Mytilus edulis: one gene and its partners. The protein of the gene in region 1 interacts with the protein of each later gene in a pairwise test. Links are inferred from orthologs where the notes say so. Each region holds a gene or a part of one and is shown in the gene's direction. Other genes may lie near its edges.

Region 1 (7,801 bases):
TTTCCTCGATCTTGATATCTATATCATTAACGAAAAGCTTAATACTAAAATTTATGATAAAAGAGATGATTTTTCATTTCCTATCGTTAATTATCCATTTTTAGATGGTGACGTTCCTTTGTCACCATCTTACGGTGTTTATATATCTCAACGTGTACGATTCCCGCGTGTATGTAACAACGTTTTAGATTTTAAAGAGAGATGTATTACTGAAAAATTATTACACCAGGGTTTTCAATATCACAAACTAGTCAAAACATTTACTAAAAATTTACATCATCGGTACAAGGACATCATTCGAAAATATAGCTCAACATGCAGACTTCTTATACGTTCAGGTATTTCACATCCAATCTTTTATGGAAATATTCGTTATAAAGCACAAAAATGTCAGTATCCACCTCAGAAGGTAACAAAACCTTTAAATAGACTTATTAAGAAGGGATATAGATACGATACTGTTGTCAGGTCATTAAAAATTGCATATTTTGGCGTTAATATTGATTCACTTGTAGGGTCTTTGCATTGGAACTAAACACATTTATTTAAAAACCAGTTGTTGGTATGTCACGGGCTATGTTCTTCTCATATATGTTATGACTAGAACACACCCGCGAAATCGAGGGCATTCAGAGCTTGGTTGAAAGTATGTAAAGTAGACAGTGGTTGTCGTTTGTTTATGTGTTACATATTTGTTTTTCGTTCATTGTTTTGTACATAAATAAGGTTGCTATTCAATTAAACTGATGGAAAGATTATGATTTCATCATATGAATATCAGGCACAATCCTTCCCGTTAGGGGTTTAGTATCATACCATCATAACATATATGAGAAGAACATAACGTGTGCATACTGTTTACATTGAAATATGTGGTAACTTTTCATTCGAGGTAGGGGCAGTTAAGAAAATTAGTGTTAGTTTAAACTCTGAGAAATTCAGGGCATATATACGTTGAAAATATGCCGCACAGCTCGGACTTCTCTTGAACTGAATTTTAATGTGCGTATTGTTATGCGTTTACTTTTCTACATTGGCTAGAGATTTGAGATCAGAGGGAGGGTTGAGATCTCATAAATATGTTTAACCACGCCGCATTTTTGCGCCTGTCCCAAGTCAGGAGCCTTTGACCCTTGTTAGTCTTGTATTATTTTTAAATTTAGTTTCTTGTGTATATGGAGTTTAGTATGGCGTTCATTGTCACTGAAATTTTAACTAGTATATATATTTGTTTAGGGGCCATCTGAAATACTCCTCAGGCTGCGAGAATTTTTCGCTGCATTGAAGACCTGTTAGTGACCTTCTGCTGTTGTCTGTTCTATGGTCGGGTTGTTGTCTCTTTGACATATTCCCCATTTCCATTCTCAATTTTATGTATATAACAATAATATTTAGTTTGCTTTTAATTTACTGATAGCAAAATCAATATTAATACCAATAAAACCAATCTTATTACAGTGTTGAATTGGTAACCTTTTAGAATAATAAAATAATTTTATTTAAAGGATCGTCTGACTTTCGATAAGTTTTACAGGGTCGTTTCTAAATTTTCGGGCACGGTAAACAGCATCTCTGTAAAAATGAGGATGTGCTATCCTGTTTGAAATATTTTTTCTACAGGAACGACCAAACTTCAAAACCAAATCTTTATATCTACGGAAGACTTTAGTAAAAGTTTTAAGTAATTTGTGGTAATGTAATCCCTGACTTAATAATTTACCAGTAATACAAACATTACGTTCGTGAAAACGTCACAACAGACTTGGGTATATAGATTTGGTTGTGAAATATAAACACCGAAAGATGGTGCCAAAGGAACAATACCATCCAAAAAGCGAAAATTAACAATGGGGAACGAAAAATCAAGACAGGAATATCACTGAAAAGTTATTGTTTTTAATAACAAGATATATTTTATAACACATCCAAATTCCAAATATATATATATATATATATAACTCGTCTAAACATCAACCCAACAATGTTAGATCTGTAAATTTGCTTTCGCAAATATATATATATATATATGTAAAGTCTCTGAATGATTGTATAATAAAAACTATAACACAAATTCCCATACGTTTCGGCCATTACGGCCTTCTTCATTGGAATAAATTACAACATTGAAACAACAATTACATCGCTTGGATACATTACGTTATAATAACTTCTATGACGTTCATTTGCCGCGTTTTTCGCTTTTTTAATATAAATATATTTATTATCGTTCATACATTGTGTTGAGTCCTTCAGGTTCTAAAGTTTTTAATTTCTTCATCCAAAAGGCTTCTTTAGTTTTTCTGTAAACTTCTGTCCCAAATACTCTCTCTATGGCGGTAACTTTCAAATTTGTCATTGAATGATTGTTCTGAATGAAATGGTTGGCTACCGGATCTTCTGTTTTTTGTGTGCGTATTTTTGAAAAGTTCAATAGCATTCGTTGATATAGTGTATCACCCGTTTGTCCTACATATATAACTTTTTCACATTTTGTACAATTAATCGCATAAATCGCTTCCAAATGTACATTCAATTCATAGAAAAAATCTTAAAATTCTCCATCAATCTGAAAGACTAAAGAAAATATTCCCCGATCCGCCTATCGTGGCATTTAAACGCGATAACAACATAAAAGACATCTTAGTGCACAAAAAGCATAATTTACTATTTTATAAACAAACTAATGGATGTGGACCATGTGGTAAAAATTGTGCATTATGCTCACATATAAATGAAACCAAGGTATTTTGTGACAACACCGGCAAAGAATATACCATTCAGGGACAAATAAATTGTAAAACCGTAGGCGTGATATATGCGAAAAACGCGGCAAATGAACGTCATAGAAGTTATTATAACGTAATGTATCCAAGCGATGTAATTGTTGTTTCAATGTTGTAATTTATTCCAATGAAGAAGGCCGTAATGGCCGAAACGTATGGGAATTTGTGTTATAGTTTTTATTATATATATATATATATATATACAACTCGTCTAAACATCAACCCAACAATGTTAGATCTGTAAATTTGCTTTCGCAAATTTCTGGTTCTTCCCTCGCCGGGATTCGAACCCATGCTACTGTGATATCGTGACACCAAATCGCCAGCCGTCCCGCTAGACCACACGACCACCTGGGCTATATATCACAAATTAGCAAAGAATGAAAAAAGTCTACTATTTTGCGTGTGTAATCCCATACCACCATAGAGCTGCATGCCTCAATCTGCAAGCTGATCTTGATGCAGCTTCAAAATGAGAAGTGGACTGACTGATGGCCATCTACCCGACAGGTGTAATGCTCTCTCTGTCACAATCAACCTTTAAAAATTAATTACACTCTTCACAATCATATTTTAGAAACTGTTACATCTGCTAAGTACTAAGGCATGATCATCACGCCTAAATACTAAGCAGAGCCGCATCACATTACAATCATACCTAAAATGGGACAAACATATAGATGACAATACCTCGTAAACTTGAAAACATCAAATCAAATCATTAACAGCCAGAGATACCAAGATGGTAGTCCCAAACTCGAGTACTCTTGCTCTGTTTGGGACCCCCACACTTCAGAATCTATCTCGAAGCTAGATGGTCCAAAGGAGAGCTTCTCTGTATGCCTGCAACGTGCATCATACCACTAGCAGTGTATCAAACATGCTCAATAATACACTCAACTGATCACAATTTACTCAACCAACGCAGATTATGTTCACGCCTGGTTATGATGTACAAGATCACACATCATCTTGTTGCTATACTATCTAGCACAGTTCTCATACCATCAGACTCAAGAACTAGAAAACATCATTCTCACACCTCCAGACATATTTAAACATCTAAAGACTCGTACAGATTTTCATTTTTCCCATAAACAATTAGTCAATAACGCAATGGAATCTATTATTACCAACTACAGTTGTTAATACATTTAAAACAGTCGACTCTTTCATAGAGCAGCTTACATATGTTGTTCTCTGCCCGGGCCACTCTATTTTGAATAGCTTCTTCTCCTGTAAATAATTTTAATCACTACGTCTGTTCTCTGCTGCAACATTATTATCAATATTTTTTGTATATAACTAAAATATTAACTTTTTTAAAACAAATAGGCCACGTATGCATCAGTTATTAATCATCTTCATTCAGATGGAAGACTGGAAAACAACTTAAGAAGAGGAAGGGGGCAAGTTCACCCTAGTAGAATGGCCGAATCGATTGTAGACGTGTCACGGAATAGCATTTCCTTCATTATATAATATCCAAAGGGAAAAAATGTTCTGGAATATTATTTCCACAGGAATAAATATTACAGTAAATGTTCCCAACGGAATAAATGGTATAGAATATTTGTTCCAACAGGAATAGATATTATGACAATGTTTATAACAAAGTTTCCATTGGAACTTCTGTTAGGTGGAACAAATATACGTTGACAGACGAACCGCCAGCCGTTTTTGGTTCTTGACGAACTGCCACTTTGTTGGATGTGAACGAACTGGTAGCGTGGACGAAACGACCTGTAGGCGAACTTGTAGTGTGGCCGAAACGTCTTTTTTTTTTAAAGATAACACAACATCAAGGCCGAGAGGTATCTATGAGGGTCCACACTTTTCAATTTCGTTATGTTATGGATCAAAATTGGTATCTAGCTTTTTCTCATCATATTCCTTGCAACCTTGCAGCAACATTTATTTCTGCTACCACATCTTTTCGTAATAAAATGCAAATAGAGGAACACCCTTTTCAAACAGCTTCCCGCGATATTTTTGCTCTCGCGCATGAATCTTTAAATGGGTGGGACTATTTTACTCTAATCAACATGGCTGACCAAAACACCGACTTTACTTGTCAAAAGAATACCGCAGAAATGAAGTTTGTTTGATCTATATAAGATAATATTGGAGTGACTATTGAACAGAGGGTATAGAAAACTTAATATCTGAAAGTAAAGTTGCTAATAATACTGACACAGAAGGACTTTTCGCGATACTTCCTACCGTTGTTCTGTGGGTGACTCATCTCCGAGATATCGGTCATGGAATAATAAATGAAGTGAGATAATGAAGGAAAACCAAAAACAATGCCAACTGTCAAAGTCTTAAAAATATGAGTAATTAGGTAAGATATTAAGATGGTTAGTTAGCAGACATGTTTTATATATACAGTTTTAACCGATTATGACAGTTTACAATGAATTTCAAGTAGAAAACATTGGTTTTATGTTCTCAAAAAGCCAGTCATCTGTTGATTGTTGACTCAACTTCTTACATTGTAGATGTTATCAGGTCATTTCATACCCATAGATTGGGTGTTAACCTAAAAGATGGTGTATGTATACATGTTAAAAACTATTAATAGCTTGATGTAGTAAATTATGTACAATGACATGTTTCATACATGTTTGTACTTTCTATTAATTGGAACTGTCCCACCACCACACTTAGAGCAATAGGTTACTTTGTAAGAGGTTAAACACCAACACAGGACCACACAATGTCAATGTACAAACTAATCAACCATTTATAGTTTGATCTGATACATCATTGCTAGCCAAGGGTTACAATCCAGTCCCCTCGTCTCTACCCTTTTTGGCGGATCTTAACCCTTTGCGAGCAAAAATGTTTCTGATAAAAATTCCATGCACTTATACAATGTAGTTATATGTTTAAATTCAAAGAAATTGGAATTGCTGATTTACCTCTGCATCCTTCCTAGACATCTGTAAGATCATGCAACATTTATCTCGGCTGACAGCAACCACCAGATCCAAATACATACAATGTAATTTTATATTTGTACAAGTCATAGATTCTTGAAACTTGGCTCTAAGCTTCAATGATCTGATAATGCTATCTTGACTACTGTGTGACATGTTTTGCAGTTCTTTCAATGTTTTACTTCCTGTTCGCCAAAAACTTTAACATTGATAAAAGAGGGACGAAAGATACCAGAGGGACAGTCAAACTCATAAATCAACAATAAACTGACAACGCCATGGCTAAAAATGAAAAGGACAAACAGACAAACAATAGTACACAGAACACAACATAGAAAACTAAAGATTAAACAACATGAACCCCACCAAAAACTAGGGGTGATCTCAGATGCTCCGGAAGGGTAAGGAGATCCTGCTCCACATGATAACATACAATGTACATCTACATCGTACATCATACATGGAAATGGTACAAATGTAATGTCCCAATTATTGTCTCTTCAAGGATACTCATGGCTACAATATTTCAAGAATCCCAAATCTAATACAAATGCTGATCAAAGTAAAAAAGGACCTTTTAACTAAAAATAAAGTAGTGCCTAAATGGTATTATACTACAATTTGTATATTGAGCATTGACATGATTGCAGTCAGTAATCATTATAATTCTGAAGGGTAAGATACCTGAAGAGGAAGAAGAAGAATAATTTACCAACCTTTCACTGTTTATGAATAATAATGGTAACAGATTATTATTTGGGGTTTCTAATGAATCATTCATGATAAGGATAATTAAACGAATCACAATAAAATTTTAACCAATTTGACGCTGAAGGGAAAGGGCCTTCCTTCCCTCTTGTATTGTCTTTATTGTCATTTACCAGGTGTTCATTTAAGCTTTTGCTTTAGTCATGTTAGTTTTTTTGTTTTTTTATCTGGGTAATTTTATTTCCAAAGTCTGTGTTGTTTTTCTCAGTTACAGTCTTTTTTTTATACATTTGAAGTTGCATTGGTGATGTTACACATGGTAGGAGGACAGTAATTCATTGATCCCCTATTGCATGATGTATCAACAGATTTTATTAGAGATATAACATAAAAGTGTGTTACTAGACTATTGTACCAGGAATTACTGGCCCTTCTGTTGTTAGTATCTATACATGTAGCAATACATGCAGTAGGTAAGGTTTTAATATCTGTTCAAGGATATCCATGGATGAAAATTTATTTTTAGCTACATAACATGAAAATGTTTTTGTATTCTGTAGAAAATTTTAAAACACACACATATATTGAAAACTGAGGGTAGAAGCTAAGAAATTTAAAGAATCATATTAAATGACTATTTTATCCTCGAGATTTTATCATAGAAAAAGCACTTTTATTCTTTTCTTTTTCTTGAAGTTGTTTAAAGGTAATACATGTAAAACTTCATTTGTTACAATACAAGCAACATCTTAACCAATTATTGAACTTGATATAGCGGCAGCCTGGAAGGACATGAAATGTTGGTTATAAAAAAAGTATCCTATTTTGAAATTCTTGAAAAATGATGTGATCATGGACAAATGATGGATATTTTGTATTAAATTTTTTTACTGTTTCTCAGCTTACAATGGCATGAATGGCTTAAACCACTGTTCTTGATAGAAAATAGTCTTTTAATTTGAAATTTTCTTAGAATGTGTCTTATCTTCGGTTTTATTTGAAAAAGAGCCTCAAGGAAAATGTCTAACCTTTAGTGAAGAAATTAACAGGTCTTGTTTAATTTTAGATATTATTTTGCAATATACATGTATGTGTAACCTATACAGTAGACATGTATATGTAATCAACTAATAAGTTCAAATATCATGATCAGTTTGCTGTCTTGTCCAAATCATAATGCATGGAGATAAAAAGAAATGGTAAACAATTTTACAGATTTTTATTGGACTTAATTAACTAATAAGATTAGCGAATTATTATTTAAAAATATATTTTTATAACTTTTAGTGTTCTTTTACCAATATCTTACAATAGTTGAAGGTATCAATTTTATATAGCTTGCAGACTTTTGTGCTAGTAGTTTGTACA
Region 2 (7,394 bases), on another chromosome or scaffold:
TTTTGCCTGGCTTTGTCAGTTCGTTTTTAATCATGAGTTTGATGTCCCTTTGATATATTTCGTCACTATTCAAGTAGTAAAAGGTTTTAAAATTGTAGATCAGTGTAGCTAAATGTATCATGATAACGATTTGGTTCTATATATATATCATCGTGAGCAAATTCAGTTATTTTCGCGGATATTTGTCTTATTGCGTTAATCTACTTCACTTTACTTTGAGGTGATTTTTTGGCTGATTTTCATTACTGCAAGTTAATGTGTTTAAAATAAATTAATACCAAAGGGACAATCACCATGAACAAAATAAGATTAAAGTCCAAGAGATGAACAACAGTCCAAAAAACACGGCATACCATGAAAACGAACACTCCTAAAACAGCGAATGATCTTATGAGGTCAGGAAGGGTATTTAACTTTTTCATTTTGTTATTTCACAACTGTTTATAGTGTTTTACATACACAATGACATGCATTTGTATTTTTAAAGCTTATGTAGAAAATACTCAAAGCATATTTTATCATCAAATAATTAAAGCGATTAAACTTCTAAATACATTTAATATGACTTACTATAACACGATTTTAAACTAAATAAGAAGCAGCCGCATTTTTATTATTTAGTTCGTTTACATTCCGCTTTAGACAACCAAGTGTTTCTAAACTAGGTTACTTATTTCAATGTTGCCTACGATTTAGTCGCAAAGTAATGTTTGCATTTAAACAAGATTACAAAAAGTAAAACAGTTTGACTTCGTAAAAAACATATTTTAACCTCAATTATATTTTGCTTTTTGAATAATTTTTAATTTTTTTTAGGATTTGTGATAAATTTCAATTTTTGGGAAATTTTGCGCATCGAATCTCTTATTTTTTGTTTGATTTGGAAATTATGTATCATGTTCCATAAAGTTCATATGATCTTCTGGAAAATTTTATGGTACAAGAATTAGAAAATGGCGTTTTATTTAGTAATCGCAAAAATTGGAATTTTTTTCATGACCTTTGACCTTGATTTAACAAAAATTGCACCGTACGATTTTTTTACGACCGGGTAAAACAGAAAGTACAGATTAACAGCTTTCGAATGATATATAATACAGCCGTGTGTTAGGTGGGTGCATTAAAGTCGTTAACTAAGCGTCTTTTTGAAATAAGTCACTCGCCTATATGTAAGTGTGACATAAAATACAAACTATGAAAAAATATCATATATCCTAGTTTATTTTTTGTGTGGGCTAAATTTATTAACAACTTGTGTTTTTTTTTTCCAAATGAAAGTAATTTACTCTATTTGTTTGTTTGGTCGATGTTAGTTGAAAGCTACTTAGCTATGATTTCATGTGAAAATGACCGAAAAATAGAAAAAAGAAACTCAAGGTGAGTGGACGGAAAATTCTTTTCCTTTTTTTTGTTGCTTTTCACTAATAGAAGTTAGCCCTCCTCTCACATTTCAGTTGACTCCTTCGCCACTCTGTATAATAGGCTGATTTTTTGCGAGCAGAAAACTTAAATAAACGAAATGGGGTATACTTTCTGCTACCTTATAACGTTTATATATGTTTATCCCCTAATTTAATAGTGTTTTTTTTTAACAGTATGTAGTATTTGTATATTGAGATACAGCTACAAGGAGTGTTTTAGATACGCAACAATGAGTGTTTTAGATAAAGCATAATTTATCATTTTGATAAAAATAATGAAATTCTTTCAACTACTTAAATTCTTTGAAATCCTTTTATTTATTTTTTTATGAAAAAATATTTATTAAAATAAAAATTTGTTAAAAAAAACCGCTATACAATTTCAGTTATATATATTTTACTCATTTTAGTTATACAATCTACCGTTAAAATAAAAATAATATAAAAATTACACACCTTCATAAATTAAGATATTTGAATTATTGTGTCAAGAAAACGCAAAAAAGAGAATCGAATGACAACTTCATAAGGAAATTACGGTAATGAAGATCCCACTCTGCCAACCTACAATCATTCATCTTCAATGTCATATATATTTTTGTCAATATCAATGCATATGAGACAATATCTGAAAAAGTCTAATTTCCATGTCCCTCACTTCACCAGCAATTATTTTTTTATTCAACCATCTTTTTCGAAAATTTTAAGTTTTAGTATAAACTAAATTCTATAATGCACCATGGCCTGCCAATTAAACACTCATTCTTATATTTCTTCCAATAAAATATTGTGATTCAAATGTTCAACCCCCCCCTAAAATCATGTTGTCCCCTGTGTTTTTTTGAAAACTAAATCATTCAAATAATATCCAAATTAATTAAAAAGGCGTCCGATTCTCACATATATGATATATTATGTAATCAACTTGCCCCTAATTTGTCTTTTTATATTATAACTATAGCATGTAATAAAATTTTGCCAATTTTAAGAGAAAAAAAAATTGTCCCCAGGGGTGATTTCCCTCCTGTTACCACTGGGTTTTTTTTACCTGTGGAAACGTTTACAAGACCAAGAGTTATTTTCCCATTATGTATTGTGAAGAGCATCATTCCCTGAATGTATTAGTACAAAGAAATAGTTGGAAAGGCGGCCAGGTTTGAAAATTCAAGCCCATCCAAGGTAAGAATTTATAGAAAAATACTTATTGGTGTTCTATCCTGTTATAGCCTTTTTTTACACTTTCTGAGAATATTTTTAAGTGTGCACCACAACATTAAGTGTGTTTTTATATCATCTTTTTAAAAGTTATATGTCACAGGAAATACACTTACATTTAATGTGATAAAAAGGACAAAAACTATCGCGTAATTCCTTTCTGTTACGTTCTGTCATGTTACCTGATCAAAAGTAACAGCATAACCATCATCAGTAACAGGAAGGATGTTCAAGACAATTTCACTGAAGAATCGAACAGTTAATCTACTATATGCCAACCATTTCATTTAATGTAAGTTATCACCACCATATCAAATAAATTTCAAAATAATATACAGTATATTGAATAAAAAAATAGGTTTTTTGCTTTTGATAACAGCAGAGAACATTGTGCAATTCTAGTATAGTAGATAGTAACAGAAAGGAATTTATTTTAGAATTTTTCATTACCTAGGCAGATTTTTCATCTTGCAAATACAGTTTCAAAGGATAAATGACATTGTTTGCTGTTATCTTCCAATTGTGACCAATCTAAAATGATTTATTTTTCTTAAACTTTAAAATAAAGCAGAAAAATCCTTTCTGTTACCAACTCTGTCCTGTTACCGTTGTCCTGTTACTCAAGATTCTTTCATGTTACCGACATATCTGACTATATTTAAGTATATTTCTAAACCTTTTGTATTGCAAATGCTAAAATCAATAATTGGCATTTGATAAACTATTGCAGGATATACTAGTAAACCACAAATAGTGTCTTAAACTTATTCCTTATTCCCATTAGAAACTTTTAAAAATTGATTCACTTTGGTAACAGGAAAGAACTGTATTTTTTTTGTACCATTTTTTAAATTGCCATTGTTTCCTTAATAAACAATTATTTGAATTACAGACAACAGTTCCTAGATCCCCAATGTGTGTTCTTCGATTTGTGCTATTAAAATACCGGGTCTAAAGAATTTTTTTTGGTTTATTCTTATTGCCAAAAACTAGACTTTTTCAGATATTGTCTCATATAGCAATCATGCCACAGTCGAGGAGTTACAGTAGACAATTAATACGTGTAGTAGACATTTTTTTTAACAAGGAAATGCTCCCAAAACAGCCAGATGCATTTACAGATAAAGTTTGCAGAGCAATAAAATTTAAAAATGCTCAGTTAGATACAAACTTGTAGGATTGCGTTTTATAGAGAGAAAAAAACCTTCCGACTAAAATTGATCGTGATTTACATTGGACCCATGCAGGATGCAGGCAGCTGAAATATTAAATATTTTGGAAGTTTTTAATACGATCACAAAGAGGGGTATAAAATTAACTTAAAAATGTTAAATAGTATGCATAATCGCATTATTATCCCATTTGATAAATAATTGCTGAACATATTTGTTTGTGTAAAATTCCCAATCAATGTTTGATTTAATATTGTTGTAATTTACCTTTTTTCGGAATAAAACAAATCACTAAAAAATCGTGTCTGCATTTTAATGAAATTTATAAATATCTCATAGAAGCATCACATTTGACAAAACCATGACTGCCTTTATTTTTTCTGTTCATTATATTGCCCCTATTGACTTGAACAAATACCAAACACATTTTTTCTGCAATTTATAGTCTTTATCTACTTTAATTGCAGGGTTTTCAAATACTTAAAAATTATGAAATTATAAATTTTAGTAAATTCTGTGTAAAAAACTGAAGGAAACCGGTGTTAAATTCCACAATATATCTTTGACGTCATTGGCAATATTTTAGAAATTAGACAAAATGACCACAAGCGGTAGTCTACAATACTACAAAATAGACTTTAGGTGGTGACCTTGATCGTTTTGGATACGAAACTACAGCATTGATCATGGTTGTAGCTCTGAATGACTAATTGACCAATCATCTAACGAGGTTGTTTACGTCTTGTTTTCCGCTATGTACATTGAAATGGAGGTAAAAAATAAGTATTAATTTATCAAATACACATTGGAATTCTTTTTTTGTGATGTAAAAATCGGTCAAGGTGATACTGCAATACATGTGAGATTAATTCGGATGCTCGGTTTTACTGTGGACTGTGAAAATGATGGACATTTCCGGGCTTGTTTTGCATGGTTTTTCAACAAACAATACAGAAGTTCAAGGCCTATTTCATGGATAGTTGTACTGAACAAATTATGAAACATTCAAAACGAGAATTTCATCAAAATGTAAAACCAAATCATCAATATTGTATTGGATTCATGTCTTTATTTTCATCGCAACATGCACATTTACATTTCGATTTCTCATGGCCCAGGTTGCTGCCTTCATCACCATGTGTGAAATCATTCATCCAGATTCATTGATAAAATGACGATCAACAAAAACAACAGTGTGTACTTACTAGATATTTGCATTACCAAATTCTGTGATATTGTATAAACGTTTATTTTTAACATTTGATAGACTAAGATGAGATTTTCAATGGCTTCATCATGTATTATTATTTTCGTTTGTTGTGTATTGATGTCATTTGTGACAGGCAAGCGTTTGAGTGAAGGTTTCAACTCTCCACCAGCAACTGAACGAGAAGGAACTAGTAAGTTTTCTTAAACAGTTTATTTATCACTAAAATCATTTTAAGAATGAACATAATAATGTTTACTAAGACTTAGACCTTCATTTTTGTACTTTAATTAATATTTGTTCTTTGACTTTATTTTTACTCGCTATAGTAAATATGTAGTATAAATATAATCTCTTTTTTGTAAAATTTTTGATAACATATGTTTATCTGCTTTTTTTTCAATTGATTTTACTTGCAAGTCTTTTGATTCAACAAAAGAAATTGCTTGCCCACTCCTACATTTTGTAAGTATGGGTGGGCAGTGGACAAGCTAGAAATTTTGCCCACCTGGTGCCCACTACCACTGTAGACGGGTGGGCAAAGCAAAATAAGCCTGTAGCATGATATAAATATATAAGAAGATGTGGTATGAGTGCCAATGACACAATTCTCCATCCAAGTCACAATGTATAAAATGTTTACAATTACAGTGAATTATCATGATTATAGGTCAAAGTACGGCATTGGACACCGCCTTGGCTCATACCAAACAGAAAGCTAATAAGGCCCCATAATAACAAGTGTAAAACAATATAATCTGCAGGAAAACCATTGGTCTTATGTGTGTGTGATTCTCTATTTATAAAAAAACAAGACACAAGAAACATTTATGAGGGGGATAGGACCTTTATTCAGGATCGGGTGTTTTTAAGCTCGGAATTTTGGAATTGAACCTTTCAGGATTTGGAAATTCTTTTTCAAATTTCGGGATGTCAGGATTTAAATTTATTTAAATTCGGGACTTCAGGATTTCGTGTTTTTAAGCCCAGAATTTCAGGATCAGGACCCCTCCTACCTCCCCCTCATTTATTCACCACTGTCATGACTGTCCAGACCAACAAACAAGAATCACTGAACAACAGGCGCATGACTTAAGACAGGTGCTTACAAATGTCTTTCTTATTCTCTGTGTTGATAATGACAATAGATGGGTCATGTACAAAGGTATATGATCTTATTTAAATATTTCATTAGCTGGAGCTAAAAATTTGAAGTGAGAAAAACAACATTTGGTGAATCTAAATCTTGCAAACCTTAGTTTCTTATACATTGTATGTCCTACCCATTTACATTTAAATGTAAATAGAAAGAAAATGTACATGTATCTTAATTTGAGAATGGGAATGGGGAATATGTCGAAGAGACAACAGTCCGACTATAGAGCAGAAAACACTTACTATTTTAGTGATATGTGTGTGTTTGATGTAAATTTTAAGAGTGTTCCTATGTTACCTTATAATTATCCCTTTCCTCCATAATGATGCCTTTTGACGCCTGTATAGTTCCTCAGTTAAAATGTCTTGCCTACGAAAAAACTTTATCAGACTTGAAAAAAATTGTATCTAATATAAAAAGGATATTCAAGAGAATATCTGACTGGAATTTCGTTGATGAAATATTTGTTTTCACAATGCATTAATACTTGAAACCTAATGACATTTTTTAATTGAAATGCTTATATAAGGATTTTAGATTTGTGCTTTTTCACTTTTTTTGTCAATTCTGTTTACGGTAGCATGTATACTTACATGTATAGTGTGACTGTGCACATTTATGTTATACTATAGTTGTTTGAAGTGATGTTTATCAGACAAAGTGGCACAACTCAGACAAAAATTTCACACTGACACAGTATGGTTGTTTCGATTGTTAGCTAAACAAAAATTGCATTCAATATCAAATAGAGAAAAATTGAAACAGAAATTGAAAAAAGTGAACGTCTTTCTGATATTCAAAATCTCCTTAACATGCTTATTATAAGTGGAGGAAAATGAGACAGTTTGAATAGTCATTTTATGTTTAATGCCAAATGCCATAGCGGATTGGGCATAAAGATTACCCTCGTCCGTCTGTACGTACGGACATACATTTGTACGTAACATATTTGTACATCCGTACATACATGACATACATGTACATGTACATCCCTAAGTTGGTTTCCATTCTCTAACTTTAGTTTGCTTCAACCAAATGTTAATAAACTTATTCAAAAGCTTGTTACCACAAAACACAGATCAAGTTTGAATTTTGGTGGCGTCACATACATGTACTGTACCGTTCTCGAATAAAAAAAATGCTGAATTTTTTGTTTTCGTTCTCTTTCCTTAATTTGCCTTAACCAAATGTTATTAAACTTATACACAATGCTTATTACCACA
Region 3 (7,695 bases), on another chromosome or scaffold:
TTATTGTATGGACTACAAACACAATACAACCCTCTTAAAACCCAGGTTATATCAGGTGTTAAAAGTGAACATACACTGCTTGTATATGATTTATAGTTCATAACAGTCTCATTCTGTACCTCTGTCAAATTAGCCATACTTGGTATAGAATAAAGATTATTTGTACACAATGATTTTCAATGTAAAGTTTCACATAGGAAAATAACTTTGTATAATTTTCATATGTCTGTTTCCTGTAAACTAGTAACGATTACCAGTATAGTTGTATAGTTCTGAGCATTTTGTCAAACATATAAACTTGTAATAATATTCCCTGAACATTTTGGTACAGGATTGTGGGTAAAACTCTTAAAATATAAATATTTCTGTAACAATTGTACATGTAATAACAATTAGCCACTTCATGATATCCATTACCAAAAATGTTGTATAGTCTGATTATAACCACAGAATTTACTTTGCTTTTCAGATACTAGTGAAGAAATAAAGAAACAAGAGTAGACACCATTTGACCAACTGTGCTTACAATACTTGTGCAATAGTTGTAATTGATGTCCATACTACATTGTAGTGTCATACATGTATGATAATACATTACAGCATCCATAGAATTATCATCTTGGTCGTCAATGCCTCTCATTTCTTAATAAATTGCATTTGTTATTTTGGTTGTATGATTTTCTAAACAGACTTTTTTGTTATTAATGGAGTAGAATGTTGAAAAAACAAATGACAAAGATCATTGCTGAATGAAGTACAAGTATTTTTTTAAAGTTTAAATAGACAATTGGTATGGTGTTTGAGTGATTTTAAATAGATATTTCTTATTTGTTTCCAGTACATTAATAACCACTTTATCACACAATCAGTGGCAGATCCAGAAATTTTCATAAGTTGGGGCCCACTGACTGCCTAAGAGGGGGTCCGGCCCACTCCAGTCATGCTTCAGTGATTTCCTATATAATCAACCAAATTTCTTTCCAAAAAAGGGGAAGCCAGGGGCCCCTGGCCCCCTCTAAATCCGCCTCTGACAATACCATGAAAATAAATTAGCTGTAGCTATTTGTTGTATTTCGTTTTACATTGTTTATTTCTGACATAAAACCCGCTTAAAAAAATACAATTTGAAACTAGAAACACTTATCCTAAAAATTGCATTTTAATATTAAAACCAAAGAGAATGAAGAAAGAACACTATCGAGTGTACCTTAATATGATTCTGAAAAGTAATCATTACATTGAATGCTTATAATTACAATGAGATATGGTATGATTGCCACTGAGATTTATATCCACCAGAGTTCAAATATTGTGCATTCAATTTGTAGGTCACCTTTCAACCTTCAACAATGAGCAAAATCCATAGCCTATAGTAAGCTTTAAAATGCTCTAACATGGCAAAAAACATTGTTAATCTAACTGATATTTCTAAATTACTGAAAATCAATTGTTATGATGGAGAAAATAAGTGGCATTACAGTTTATCATGTTTATGTCATGGACACAAAGACCATCTAGGAGTTTTGCAAATGCCTACTTTGGACAGTCAAACGACAAGTAGGAATAAAAAAATCTACTTTAATGTTGAATATATTAAATTGATAATAGATATGGGGAATGTGTCAAAGAGACAATTAAGTAGAAGAAAACAGCCAAAGGACACCAATGCTTCTTATCACAGAAAAGAAAATCCAGCTCCCTCAGGCAGGCTTTAGCTGAACTCTAAAACAAAATGTGTACTAGTTCAGTGAAAATAGATGTCATACAAAACTTCAAAACATAAATGAACTAAGATTGAAAGTCCTACAAGGCTATTTAACATGCATAAAAATAAAAAGATGAGTATAAAAAAGATGTGATATAATTTCCAATGAAAAACTATAGGTTACTGTACAGCCTTCAACAATGAGCAAAACCCATACAACGTAATACAAATATACAGTTGTATAAAGATGAAGGAAAAACAAACGACAACCACTGAATTAGAGGCTGTTGCCTTGGGACAGGCACATATATACATACATACAGAATGTGGTTGGGTTAAACATGTTAGCGGTATCCCAACCCGCCCCCCATACCTAGGACAGTGGTGTAACAGTACAACATAAGAACGAACTATAAAAAAATCAGTTGAAAAAGGCTAGTCATCAGATGGATACAATTAGAAATACTACATAGAGTGGACGTGGCCGGGTACTTGTATATCCCAACAACAAAGGTACATTTGAGTATGATTGCCAATGAGACAACTCAATCAAAGTTCAAATCAAGTGGATGTTATCAATTATAGGCAACTGTACAGTCTTCAACAATGAGTAAAACCCATATATAGTCTGCTGTTAAAGGCCCAGACATAAATTATATGAACAATTCAAATGAGAAACTGACGGCCTAATTTATTACAAAACAAAAAATATCGAAAATTAAAAATTACATGCATGAACCAACAACAACCACTGAACTAAAGCTTAAGGCATAACACTGTACAAGGGTTAAATAATACTATTAATTTGAAAGCATGCCTTTTATGGCTTTATTTGTAAATACCCAGCTATCTATCTAATTGCCAACTGCAGAAATTGTAATATTTCATAAAAGGCTATCAGGAACTATGATACTGAAAATATATGGTTTTTGGTAGGGTTTGTGTTGCTTTCTTTAGTTTTTGTTGTTGCGTTGTGTCCTTCTTTATGACTATAAATACTAGGAAAAAGAAATAACCTAGTAAACTGAATTAGTAAGTCTATCAAGCCTCTAATCCTTGTTGTTAGGGTATATTAAGAAAATAAAATTGCAATGAATAACAATACAGTAGAAAGTAGGTCAACAAACACTATCTCGATGTGGCTATATATGTATGTAGATTTATGTTAAATTGAAGGGCATGTAAATAAAAATAATCAGATTTTCCTGTTCTTTTAGTTAAAACCATTCACAGCCAAAAATATCTGGTGAAATTCTGTTGATTGATGTGCAACTCAGTATATTATATAAAGGCATACGACTACAATTCACACATATGCACAGTACATAAAATCATGAGTTACTTAATCCTGCAAAAATCCATAGAAGAATATTGACAGCAATCGATCAATGCAATACTGCTTTGCTCTACAAAATAAAACAAATTTATTATACATTAAATATTGAATCACCTGAGTAAAAAATTGTCTATAATAATAGTCTGAGGTCTTACTCAATAAAATAAGACCTTGTACAGCTGTTGCATACTTGCAGTGTTTTATTCATATTATAAACCATTACCAGGGTAACAAAGAAATACAATATTAAAGACTTTAAATCAAAGAGGACTGACAGAAGACCAAATAAGGTACACAAGCTCCATACAAATTTAAAAAAGAATGTTTAGAGAGGGAAGGCATCACAGAAAAAAACATGCCTAGTCCTATAATTTTTGCATCTACATGTAAGCAAAAATATAAAATAGTCTTTCAAAGTGTCAAAATTATTTGGACTCTTGGACATGTTTTGAACTTACGATACCAGATAGATGTAAATAGTTCTTTCAATGCCAATGTGAAACATTTCTTCAAATAATATAAATATATGCTCATTTGACATAAATTTTGTACTAAAAAGTGGCTTTTATAAAAAAACAAAAACAAAATTAATCACTTCAAATGTATTACTCATATAAGGGAGCTACCATTTGATTTTTATGGGGGGGCTAGGATGAAATTTGAAAAAAATAGGCAGGACAGGAGTTTTGAGTAAAAAAAATAGGCAGGATGAGACATTTGCAAAAAAAAAAAAGTCAGGACGGCAATTTAGGTAAAAAAAAGTCAGGATAAACTAAAAAAAAAAAGACAGGACCGAACAGAGTGAAAAATAAAAAGGCAGGACAGATATTACAGCTAAAAAAAATTCAGGACAAAATTTTTCATCCTAGCCCCCCCCCCCCTTCCCATAAAAATCAAATGGTAGCTCCCTAAGGGATAGTCATGCAATTGAGGGGTTGTTCCTAACCTGTTGGAGGCAATGTCTTTTTAATACAATTATTAAATTAAAATTATTTTGAAACTCAGATCACAGGGGTTTGTTTCAAACCCTGTGCTCAGATGATCTCAGATGTTCAACTGTTCAATAAATTTATGTTGCGCGACTTTACTGTTTTTGCTTTTAAACCTATCAACTATAACCTACAATTCACCTACTGCCTTTTGACAACATATTAATTACACCATGACCCTTTAACACGTATATGCTAGCTGCATGTTGATGTTCTGTGGTTGAAGTCGATAAAAAAACAAGCACTCATGGAGGCTGCCATTTTGGATGTTGTGGGTCAAACTATCATTTTGGATACTATCGTTACTTTTCATAGGGTCGACGAATAATCCAAAATGTTCCGAGTCTCTGACAGAAATCTGTCATAAGAATTTTTACCATTGCGAAAACCCAGACGTTTGATTACAAATTCAAGCGTCTGGGTAATCGAGACTATTTGTTGTCGTGTGTCTGTGTCATTCGGAAATGACAATGGTTCCGAATGGAACTCCCGCGCTTAAATTCTTAAAAATTAGTTATAAACTAAAGAAAGTTGTTACATTTTTTCATTATTACATAAACACAAATATATTTTATATTCTTAATTTCACTATGATTCAAATATATCCATAGATTTGATAAATTTGTTTTTGTATAGAGGCTATCTATTTCAGTTACTCACAACCCGGAAGTTTCAAAGAAAATTTACAAAATGTCTATGAAGAAAAAAAACACGAATGTGTCATCTATTCTGTTAAATGACAATGAAAACGAAGCACTTTTCAACATCCTCGGTAGAGGTTGTGTGGTAAGAATAAGCAAACATTGAATTACAGGAGATACTCCCTTTTGCTTTAATTCTAAATCTAACCGTTTCTATGTAACATTATGTCAATTTATGATCACCTGTTTATTTATAGTACATCATCATACTAGCTTTAACATTTTTATTTGCCGTATAACATGGGTAAAGTTTAATTGGTTTCCGTTGTTTTACTGTAAACTAATGACAACTTTGCTTCAACAGCAAACAGATTGACCATGTTGAATTGCAAAAAGGGGAACAACTCTTTATTACTAAGTGAATATTTTGAACTCAGAGATAGTGCATGTACTTCATTTGCCACAGCTGCTTAACCCAGATTAGCCCGTTTGGTGCTTCCTTTATAGACACAGTCGCTTCATTTGCTGTAAAATCAGCTGGCGCACATATTCATACACTTCTCTCAGCAGTTTTAACACACCAGTAAGAAAGATGTGGTGTAGTGGTTAGTGCATCGGACTACTAACACAAAGGTTCCTGGTTCGATTTCAGTTTCGGGATGAAAATTTCAGGGACTGAATTTTCAGCTCTCTCTTGACATCATTTGAGAGTATGGTCTTGAGGAAACGATGATAGTCTGTAGGAAGGGGACGATAAATGGCTGACCCATGTTAAGAGAGAGCCATACATGTATCTCTTGCACGTTAAAGACATCGTTGTAGATTTCGAAAAAGAGCAGGCTAATGCCGCTACAAGGCAGCCCTTGCACCCGCTAAGTGGAAAGGGATTAATATAAGTTGTAAAACTTGTTTTCCAATCCACTATAAATATGTTTAACCTAACACACCAGCAAGCAATCAGCCTGTCATAAAAGTACATGTATGATGGGAAGCGTAATTTAGGATAAATTGTCGGAATTTGAAAGGTGAAGATTGAAACAATTTCATTATATGATATACTGCAATGGTTAAATGTGACGATAATAAATTGTAAAGCTACAAATGTACATTTTATTTTCAAATTTTTCAAAATCATCTCAGAGAAATGTTTTTATGATGAATAAGGCCTCGAAAAAAGATTGCATATAAAAAATACATATTTATTATCAACATATTCATTTTTTATATTCTCCAACTTGGAAACCAAAAAGTATAAATTTGAACTTCTGTCGCCATCTTTAAATCAGCCTGTTCAACTCCGTTTACTTCTCAGCCATTTGACCCAGTCACATGATAAGGCTAACTGGGCATATCCCCGAACTAGAACAAATGAAGCAGTCACAGATAGTACAATCTGTGAATATCCCCGAACTAGAACAAATGAAGCAGTCACAGATAGTACAATCTGTGAATATCCCCGAACTAGAACAAATGAAGCAGTCACAGATAGTACAAACTGTGGATAATATGTGGAGCTCCTGATATTCATTTCAGTAGGCATAGGTTTTAAAAGAAAAAAAAGGTAAAGTTCAGAAATGTCAACAAAAAAAATTATTGAGAAAAATCCCATATTTTTCCTTAACATTTTTGGCTACTTTTAAGCAAGCTACATTTGCATGGGATTAGCCTGTGTGCAGCTGAATCCAGGTTCGTTCGCCCTAAAACAAGTTCCACTTCTTTCACTTTTGCACTCTACACATTTGCACCCTTTTAATCGGTTTTGTGTTTAATAATTTGTAATTGAGTTTTGGTTTATATTGTATTGTTATAAAAAATATAATGTTACACAACACATTGATTTTCTGAAAACATTTTTTGTGTGGAATAAATCTTAAATCGTGTTTTGGTTTGAGAGTTTCTATATGTATATATATTTTTTTCCATTCAATGTTCAAAATAAAGTGACATTTTGACAACGGTTTTTTAGGATGAATAAATCTTGATCATGTTTTGGTTAGTGTATTATTGCTATACATATTTTTTTCATTGTTTCTTAATAAAGTGCCTTTTTCATGTTTCTTTTTCATGTCATGCATGAAGTCTTTTTAAAAAATAAATTTGTTGAAAAAATTTTAAATACACTTTTTGGTGCGAATGGACCTATTGGGGGACCCTGTGAGGTGATGACATGTATGGTGTGAATGTGAATTGGGAACAAACTGGCCTGATACAGTTCCAGCTTGGATTTGCCAACCAGAAAAAGGGCATCTGATGAGACATGAAATGATAACATGAAAAGGACATTTAACGAGTTAAATTATATTTTATAATAATTATTCTGCTATTTAAAAAAGTATTTAGAGAACCTGAAAACATGCTCAAAACCCAAAATAACATTTTATGTGGTCAAATATAGTCATTTTCTATTTAAAACAAAGAAAGACAATAACAATGGGATACATGTCAATTTTACTTTAATTCAACTTCAGAAATATGATTTTAATGACATGTACATGTACATGAACATAAGTTCCTTGTCCATATTACAATACATAACGGAGGACTTTCAAAACTTTTATTTAGATAGGGTTATTTCCCTTTTTCTTAATTGCATCAGCCATATTGCAGTGTCTTTTTACATGTACCACAGAATACCACAGAACTACAAAAATAAACAAAAGCTGAAATTTCTAGATTTTAAAGTCAGTATTAAGCATTTTTTTAAAGTTTTGAAATATTGAAATTTCAAAAGTAAAATTTCATGTAAAAGTCGAAATTTCCACTGTAAATTAATAAAAAGTTCAATGAAAATCAATTTTCATATATCATGTATATGTCTCTGATAAAATTCTGAAGAACCACATCAAATTCCAGTAAAGAATTGTAAACATATGAAATATGTATGTTAAAACTAACATCCACCAACACTATTCTTTGAATGGTAAATATTGCAGTATGCTACATTTGTACCTACATGTAGCCCAAAATAGCCAGGTGCAACTCTCTTTCTTTTTATATTCTTAAATCTTAGTCCTGACTACTAGT
Region 4 (7,128 bases), about 85 Mb from region 1:
TAATGAACGCCGTACTTAACTCCAAATTATACATAAGAAACTAAAATTAAAAATAATACAAGACTAACAAAGGCCAGAGGCTCCTGATTTGGGACAGGCGCAAAAATGCGGCGGGGTTAAACATGTTTATGAGATCTCAACCCCCCCTCCCCTATACCTCTAGCCAATGTAGAAAAGTAAACGCATAAAAATACGCACATTAAAATTCTGTTCAAGAGAGGTCCGTGTCTGATGTCAGAAGATGTAACAAAAGAAAATAATCAAAATTACAATAATACATAAATAACAACAGACTACTAGCAGTTAACTGACATGCCAGCTCGAAACTTCAATTAAACTGATAGAAAGATTATGTCATATGAATATCAGGCACAACCTCTCCCGTTAGGGGTATAGTATCATACCATCATAACATATATGAGAACATAACCCGTGTCATGCCAACAACTGGTTTTTAAATAAATGTGTTTAGTTCCGATGCAAAGACCCTATAAGCGAATCAATATTAACGCCAAAATATCCAATCTTTAATGACCTGACAACAGTATCGTAACTATATCCCTTCTTAATAAGTCTATGTAAAGGTTTTGTTAGCTTCTGAGGTGAATACTGATATTTTTGTGCTTTAGAAAGAATATTACCATAAAAAAATTGGATGTGAAATACCTGAACGTATATACATGTTGAGATATATTTACGAATGATGTCCTTGTACCGATGGTAAAATTGCCTTTCCGTTATATATCGTTTAAAAAGGTAAAATAAAAAAATTATTGAACTCCGAGGAAAATTCAAAACGAAAAACCAAAAATATTCCTACATGGAAAACGGTCTATATCTTTTTTCTAGTCCTGGTTTAAATCAACGTTTAACATATTCTGAATTTTGTCTTTTGCATTGATGGTTGAACTATGAGGTTTTTGTCAGAAGGAAGACAATATCACTATAGTAAATATAATGAATTAAATGCCAATATAGTTTTAAAAGAAGTGCACCTGTAGCCCCCCTAAATTTGTCACATTATTTTATTTTATTTTTAAAATAGGAGTTCTGATTTCTGACTCTTTTATATGTTTTAAAATTGTTTGATTTCGATCCTAGTTAATCATTGTCCTCAACATCCGCTTTAGAATCATTCTAAAATGTCATAAATATCTTTAACGTTATAGATATGTGTAGCTTTGTCATGGTTTTGTGTGATCTTTCTAATGGCTGTGATGACGGGGCTCACATTTGATTTGCTCACAGCGACAGGTTATAATATGACTGTGGTGGCAGAGTTCACATCTGATGTGCTAACAGCGACAGGTTAAAATATGGCTGTGGTGTCAGGGTTCACAGCGACAGGTTATAGTATGGCTGTGGTGGCAGGGTCACAGCGACAGGTTATAATATGGCTGTGGTGGCAGTGTTCACAGTGACAGGTTATAATATGGCTATGGTGGCAGCGTTCACAGCGACAGGTTATAATATGGCTGTGGTGGCAGTGTTCACAGCGACAGGTTATAATATGGCTATGGTGGCAGCGTTCACAGCGACAGACTATAATATGGCTGTGATGGCAGGGTTCACATTTGATGTGCTAACAGCGACAGGTTATAATAGTGCTGTGGTGGCAGCGTTCACAGCGACAGGTTATAATATGGCTGTGGTGGCAGTGTTCACAGCGACAGGTTATAATATGGCTATGGTGGCAGCGTTCACAGCGACAGACTATAATATGGCTGTGATGGCAGGGTTCACATTTGATGTGCTAACAGCGACAGGTTATAATAGTGCTGTGGTGGCAGCGTTCACAGCGACAGGTTATAATATGGCTGTGGTGGCAGTGTTCACAGCGACAGGTTATAATATGGCTATTGTGGCAGCGTTCACAGCGACAGACTATAATATGGCTGTGATGGCAGGGTTCACATTTGATGTGCTAACAGCGACAGGTTATAATAGTGCTGTGGTGGCAGCGTTCACAGCGACAGGTTATAATATGGCTGTGGTTGCAGTGTTCACAGCGACAGGTTATAATATGGCTATGGTGGCAGCGTTCACAGCGACAGACTATAATATGGCTGTGATGGCAGGGTTCACATTTGATGTGCTAACAGCGACAGGTTATAATAGTGCTGTGGTGGCAGGGTTCTAATATCTGATATGTTCACAGCGAGAGGTTTTAATATGGCTGTGGTGGCAGAGTTCACAGCGACAGGTTATAATAGTGCTGTGGTGGCAGGGTTCTCAAATGATATGTTCACAGCGAGAGGTTTTAATATGGCTGTGATGGCAGTGTTCGCAGTGACAGGTTATAATATGGCTGTGGTGGCAGCGTTCACAGCGACAGGTTAGAATATGGATGTGGTGGCAGGGTTCACAGCGGCAGATGATGATCAATCAATCAAATAGTATTTTGATAGACAACTTCAAGTGAATCCCAACCGCTAGCCACCAAATATGTAACGAGTAACCAGGCGTTTATATCTTAAACGAACGTTCCAGTAAATACTTGGATTCAAGTTGTCCACAAACAATACGTCAAATTGACAATACCAAAAACTATAACTATCTATGCTATGCACAATGAACTAAAATATACACACTGACTCTTTACCGATATAAAGTAACAACGGACAATTATATATATACAAATATAATACAATACAGCCTGTCCCCAAGATGGGACGGTCTGTCACATAAAGACAGTATGGCTGGTACAGTCTGTCACTACAAGACAGTGCGGACTGGTACAGCCTGCCTTGTCAATCCTATCAACTTGTACGTTTACTTTGTACCCGGTACAAAGTGACCTTTGAATATTATTAATGCTTATAAGCACTTAATATAACCAACGTACGCTCTGTTGACTTATGACGGCTCATCGACAGCCAACCGACAGCCTCGAGTGCCGTTGTTCATTCTCTTATATACCCGTGGTCGAATTCACTACTTTTTGGATAGGGGTGTTCTCTAAATGTTCTTCATACGGGACATAGGGAGCCCCTTGTGATCACTCCTATAATCTTCGACAAGGCACTAACTTTCCCGCCAAACGTCTAAATCTGCCTAAGGGAGCTACCATTTGATTTTTATGGGGGGGGGGGGGGGGGGGTGTGGCTAGGATGAAATTTGAAAAAAATAGGCAGGACAGGAGTTTTGAGTGAAAAAAAAAAAAGGCAGGATGAGACACTTTGCAAAAAAAAAAAAGGCAGGATGACAATTTAGGTAAAAAAAAGTAAGGATAAACAAATAAAAAAAAAGGCAGGACCGAATAGAGTGACAAATAAAAAGCCAGGACAGAGATTAGCCCCCCCCCCCCCCCCCCCCCCCCCCCCCCCCCCCATAAAAATCAAATGGTAGCTCCCTAACTCTTTTTCTACAGTAAACCATGCATTTCTACAATAAGATCCTACTTATTAGTAACCTCAACGACCAGTAAACATAACAGAACCACAAAAACGTTTTTGATATACATAAACGATTTTCAAGAATACCTCAATCACAGCACATTACGACTCTTTGCTGATTATAGCATCATATAGCAATGAAATAACATGTCAACAAGATTGCACAAAAGACCCCTCACAAAAGTACAAGCGGGTCTAAATGTGGCTGTGAGATGGGAGGAAGATTGGTTTACGACCTTATCACACACTGAGAAAAAAGAAACCATTCAAACGTTAAAGCATCCTGAATAACCATATTTTAATACTACTAGCATCAACAAAATATCTTGGTGTAACTATAATACAATGGAACATGTTTCCACTAATTGTAGTATCATGTCAAACAATTGAAACCTTATAACAATCCCTAATGTAAATGATTGAAATGAAGTACTAAAAAATTCAGATAGATGTTATCATGATAGAGCTACATAAATTTCTTTAGTTTAACGCAAGTCATGTACACTTAAAATTCTAGACAGGAAGAACCATAAAATCATTACATTAGGGATTATTATAAAACATATTAATTTACATTGCGTCTAGCATCTAGACATTTAATCATATAGTTCCCTAAAACCTATACCAATTTCCATAACCAAAAAATCTGTGTCTTGTGATAGAAGTAGTAGTACAAGTGTACAAAGAGGAGTAACTCTTACTTAGCTTGAAATCTCGAACAGGTGCTTGTTTCCTACGGGACTTTGCGTGATCTGGTACCGAACCACGAAAAGGAAATGTCAACTTAAAAAACTTGTTACTATTTTCCGGACTACAGTAATAAAGTGGTTCAGCTGGTACATTGCCAGTGTTAGTCGTCATTTGAAGCTCAGGTAATCATACAATTAACTTAATCCAATCACACCTGTGATTAAATCCTGTCATTTACACAGGCATCCCTTTTGTTTATCAATGAATGTAAAAAGATAACCCTTGTCCAAATAGTTATGATGTCTTAGAAGACTAATTTAATGTTTGCCATGGTGCTGTCTTACGGAATGTTATTTAGATATCAATTCTGAATTTGAAAAACAACCAAAATTCCAACTAGCAAATCGGAGCAAAAAATTAATTATTTGTATAAAGAAACAATATCTGATTGGAATACCAGACAATCTGGTGTGTGCCAAGACAATTGAGAGCTTTAAGACCTCTGTTGCTCTCACATTGTTGGACTAACTTACTAGTGTCTCTCTCCTGTTGCAATTGATGCCATAAACTGGCCCTGCAACTTACAAATGACTTGCATGTTCAGATTCAGATGTGTAGAACATAAAGTCATAAAATTTAAAGTTGGAGAAATGGAGAACCCATAAACATGATGAAACCAATTTGAAAAGGTTAAGTGTGTAGAAGGACAGAATTCTATAATTTATCAAATTCTATTTTTTTCTTGTAAGACCATTTGGTACGTCATATTAATTTGTAAAATTCATGCATTTTCTATGTAAATTGTGAATCAATATCATTCTAAATAGCATGAGAATCACAGGCACTCGTCTCCAGAAAAAAATAAAATTCTGAGACGAGTACCTGTGATGAAAAACCCATTATATAAAATGTAAGGATGTATATAAGCTCCATAGAGCTTATATTTTCTGTCTACTAATTCTGTATCTGTACGAGTATGTTGTGGATACCATTTACTTGCTTTTATACAAAGGTACAGACTACAGAGAGATAGTGTGCTGTGGATTTATTGATGGTGTGTGAGAGCAGTCTTGAAGCTCAGGCCATAAAAAAGATTGTTTCTTTGCCCTAACCCTACCCCCTATCCAAAAAATAGCTGCCTACTCAAAATCTTTTATTGTCCTAATGTGAAAAAGTTTTTTTATGCCCCACCTACTATAGTAGAGGGGCATTATGTTTTCTGGTCTGTGCCTCCGTTCGTTTGTCCGTCCGTCTGTGCGTCCGTTCTCGCTTTAGGTTAAAGTTTTTGGTCAAGGTAGTTTTTGAAGAAGTTGAAGTCCAATCAACTTGAAACTTAGTTCACATGTTCCACATGATATGATCTTTCTAATTTTTAATTTCCAAATTAAAGTTTTGACCCCCAATTTCACCGGTCCCCCTGAACATAGAAAATGATAGTGTGAGTGGGGCAATCGTGTACTATTGACACATTCTTGTTTTTAATCAGAAAGGCATGGAGACTAAAAAACATTTCGCATTTTTTGTCGAAAAAAAAAAAGAAAATGCCTACCTTCTTCACACTGTTTCAAACCAAATATTTTTAGTGTGGCCTCAATGTGTGCATTGCAGTGTCAGCAATGTGGTTCCACTCAATCGCTGTTTTTACAAGAAATGAATTTGAATATTGTGGTGTTTTTCAGTTGAAAATTTCAAAACACTTGTATTATATTATATATATATATATATTTTTTTTTTTTAGTGTTGTTTTATAACTTGCTTTTTCCACAATATTTGTTGTCTGATAATTTTCAAATTTCTTGACAATTATTTTTCTTCTAAGATGTGAGTCAGTTAGATATTTGTCTTTTTCTATAGCAGGAACCTGTCAACCACTTTGAACAGAAATATTAGCTTCTGACTTTAGCGTTTTGTCTGTCATTCTGTAGATCTTGTAATTCCAGGTTGGCAAGAATGAGACCCGCCCATCATCTCTGGTCTTCAGTTATAAATCTTGTATGCTGTTGTATTCTTTCAAACTTGTTGATTTTCTTAGATTCACAGGGTCCCATACTATTGCTGCATACTCCATTGTTGACCTGACCAGTGAGATATATGCTATCTTGTATGCATTTTCTTGTATTCTTGTGGGCAATATTTCAAATTCTTCTCAGGAAGCCTAAGGTTGAGTTTGCCTTCTTCACTAAATTGGAAAAATGGGTAGTCCATGTTACATGTAAGTCCTCTGAAATTTGTAGGCCCATGTATCATGTGTATGGGTTGATGTTGGACTGAAGAACAAGGTTGGCATAAAAGTGGTCAATACTAGAAGCAAATATATAAGATGTGCTTAACTTTATCTAATTAAAATCAAAAAATTGTGAATAAATGGCATTACAGATACAAAGAATTGTGAGTTATTGGCCTTACAGATTCCTGAGAGAAACAAAGAATTGTGAGTTATTGGCCTTACAGATTTCTGAGAGAAACAAAGAATTGTGAGTTATTGGCCTTACAGATTCCTGAGAGAAACAAAGAATTGTGAGTTATTGGCCTGACAGATTCCTGAGAGAAACAAAGAATTGTGAGTTATTGGCCTTACAGATTTCTGAGAGAATCAAAGAATTGTGAGTTATTGGCTTTACAGATTTCTGAGGGAAACAAAGAATTGTGAGTTATTGGCCTGACAGATTCCTGAGAGAAACAAAGAATTGTGAGTTATTGGCCTTACAGATTCCTGAGAGAAACAAAGAATTGTGAGTTATTGGCCTTACAGATTTCTGAGAGAAACAAAGAATTGAGAGTTATCGGCCTTACAGATTTCTGAGAGAAACAAAGAATTATGAATTATTGTCCTTACAGATTCCTGAGAGAAACAAAGAATTGTGAGTTACTTGCCTTACAGATTCCTGACAGAAACAAAGAATTGTGAGTTATTGGCCTTATAGATTTCTGAGAGAAACAAAGAATTGTGAGTTATCTGCCTTACAGATTTATGAGAGAAACAAAGAATTATGAATTATTGTCCTTACAGATAGCTGAGAGAAACAAAGAATTGTGAGTTATT

What was found.
Region 2: the proteins of cytoplasmic protein NCK2-like (region 1) and insulin-like peptide receptor interact in a two-hybrid assay, tested with the Drosophila melanogaster proteins (2 studies listed by BioGRID). The link is inferred for Mytilus edulis from reciprocal best matches to the Drosophila melanogaster genes dock and InR.
Region 3: the proteins of cytoplasmic protein NCK2-like (region 1) and actin nucleation-promoting factor WASL-like interact in a two-hybrid assay, tested with the Drosophila melanogaster proteins (2 studies listed by BioGRID). The link is inferred for Mytilus edulis from reciprocal best matches to the Drosophila melanogaster genes dock and WASp.
Region 4: the proteins of cytoplasmic protein NCK2-like (region 1) and serine/threonine-protein kinase PAK 2-like interact in a two-hybrid assay, tested with the Drosophila melanogaster proteins (3 studies listed by BioGRID). The link is inferred for Mytilus edulis from reciprocal best matches to the Drosophila melanogaster genes dock and Pak.

The regions. Positions count from the first base shown.
Region 1 is NC_092346.1:20,317,519-20,325,319, forward strand, and holds the start of cytoplasmic protein NCK2-like, read left to right. Parts: upstream 1-4,797; 5' UTR 4,798-5,127; intron 5,128-7,801. UniProt on the Drosophila melanogaster protein: Adapter protein that links cell surface receptor tyrosine phosphorylation to downstream signaling pathways and effectors, many of which are involved in regulation of the actin cytoskeleton.
Region 2 is NC_092347.1:4,564,528-4,571,921, forward strand, and holds the start of insulin-like peptide receptor, read left to right. Parts: upstream 1-4,394; 5' UTR 4,395-5,081; coding exon 5,082-5,208; intron 5,209-7,394. UniProt on the Drosophila melanogaster protein: Has a ligand-stimulated tyrosine-protein kinase activity. Binds 3 insulin-like peptide ligands.
Region 3 is NC_092344.1:35,959,022-35,966,716, reverse strand, and holds the start of actin nucleation-promoting factor WASL-like, read left to right. Parts: upstream 1-4,677; 5' UTR 4,678-4,720; coding exon 4,721-4,816; intron 4,817-7,695.
Region 4 is NC_092346.1:105,566,983-105,574,110, reverse strand, and holds the start of serine/threonine-protein kinase PAK 2-like, read left to right. Parts: upstream 1-4,112; 5' UTR 4,113-4,267; intron 4,268-7,128.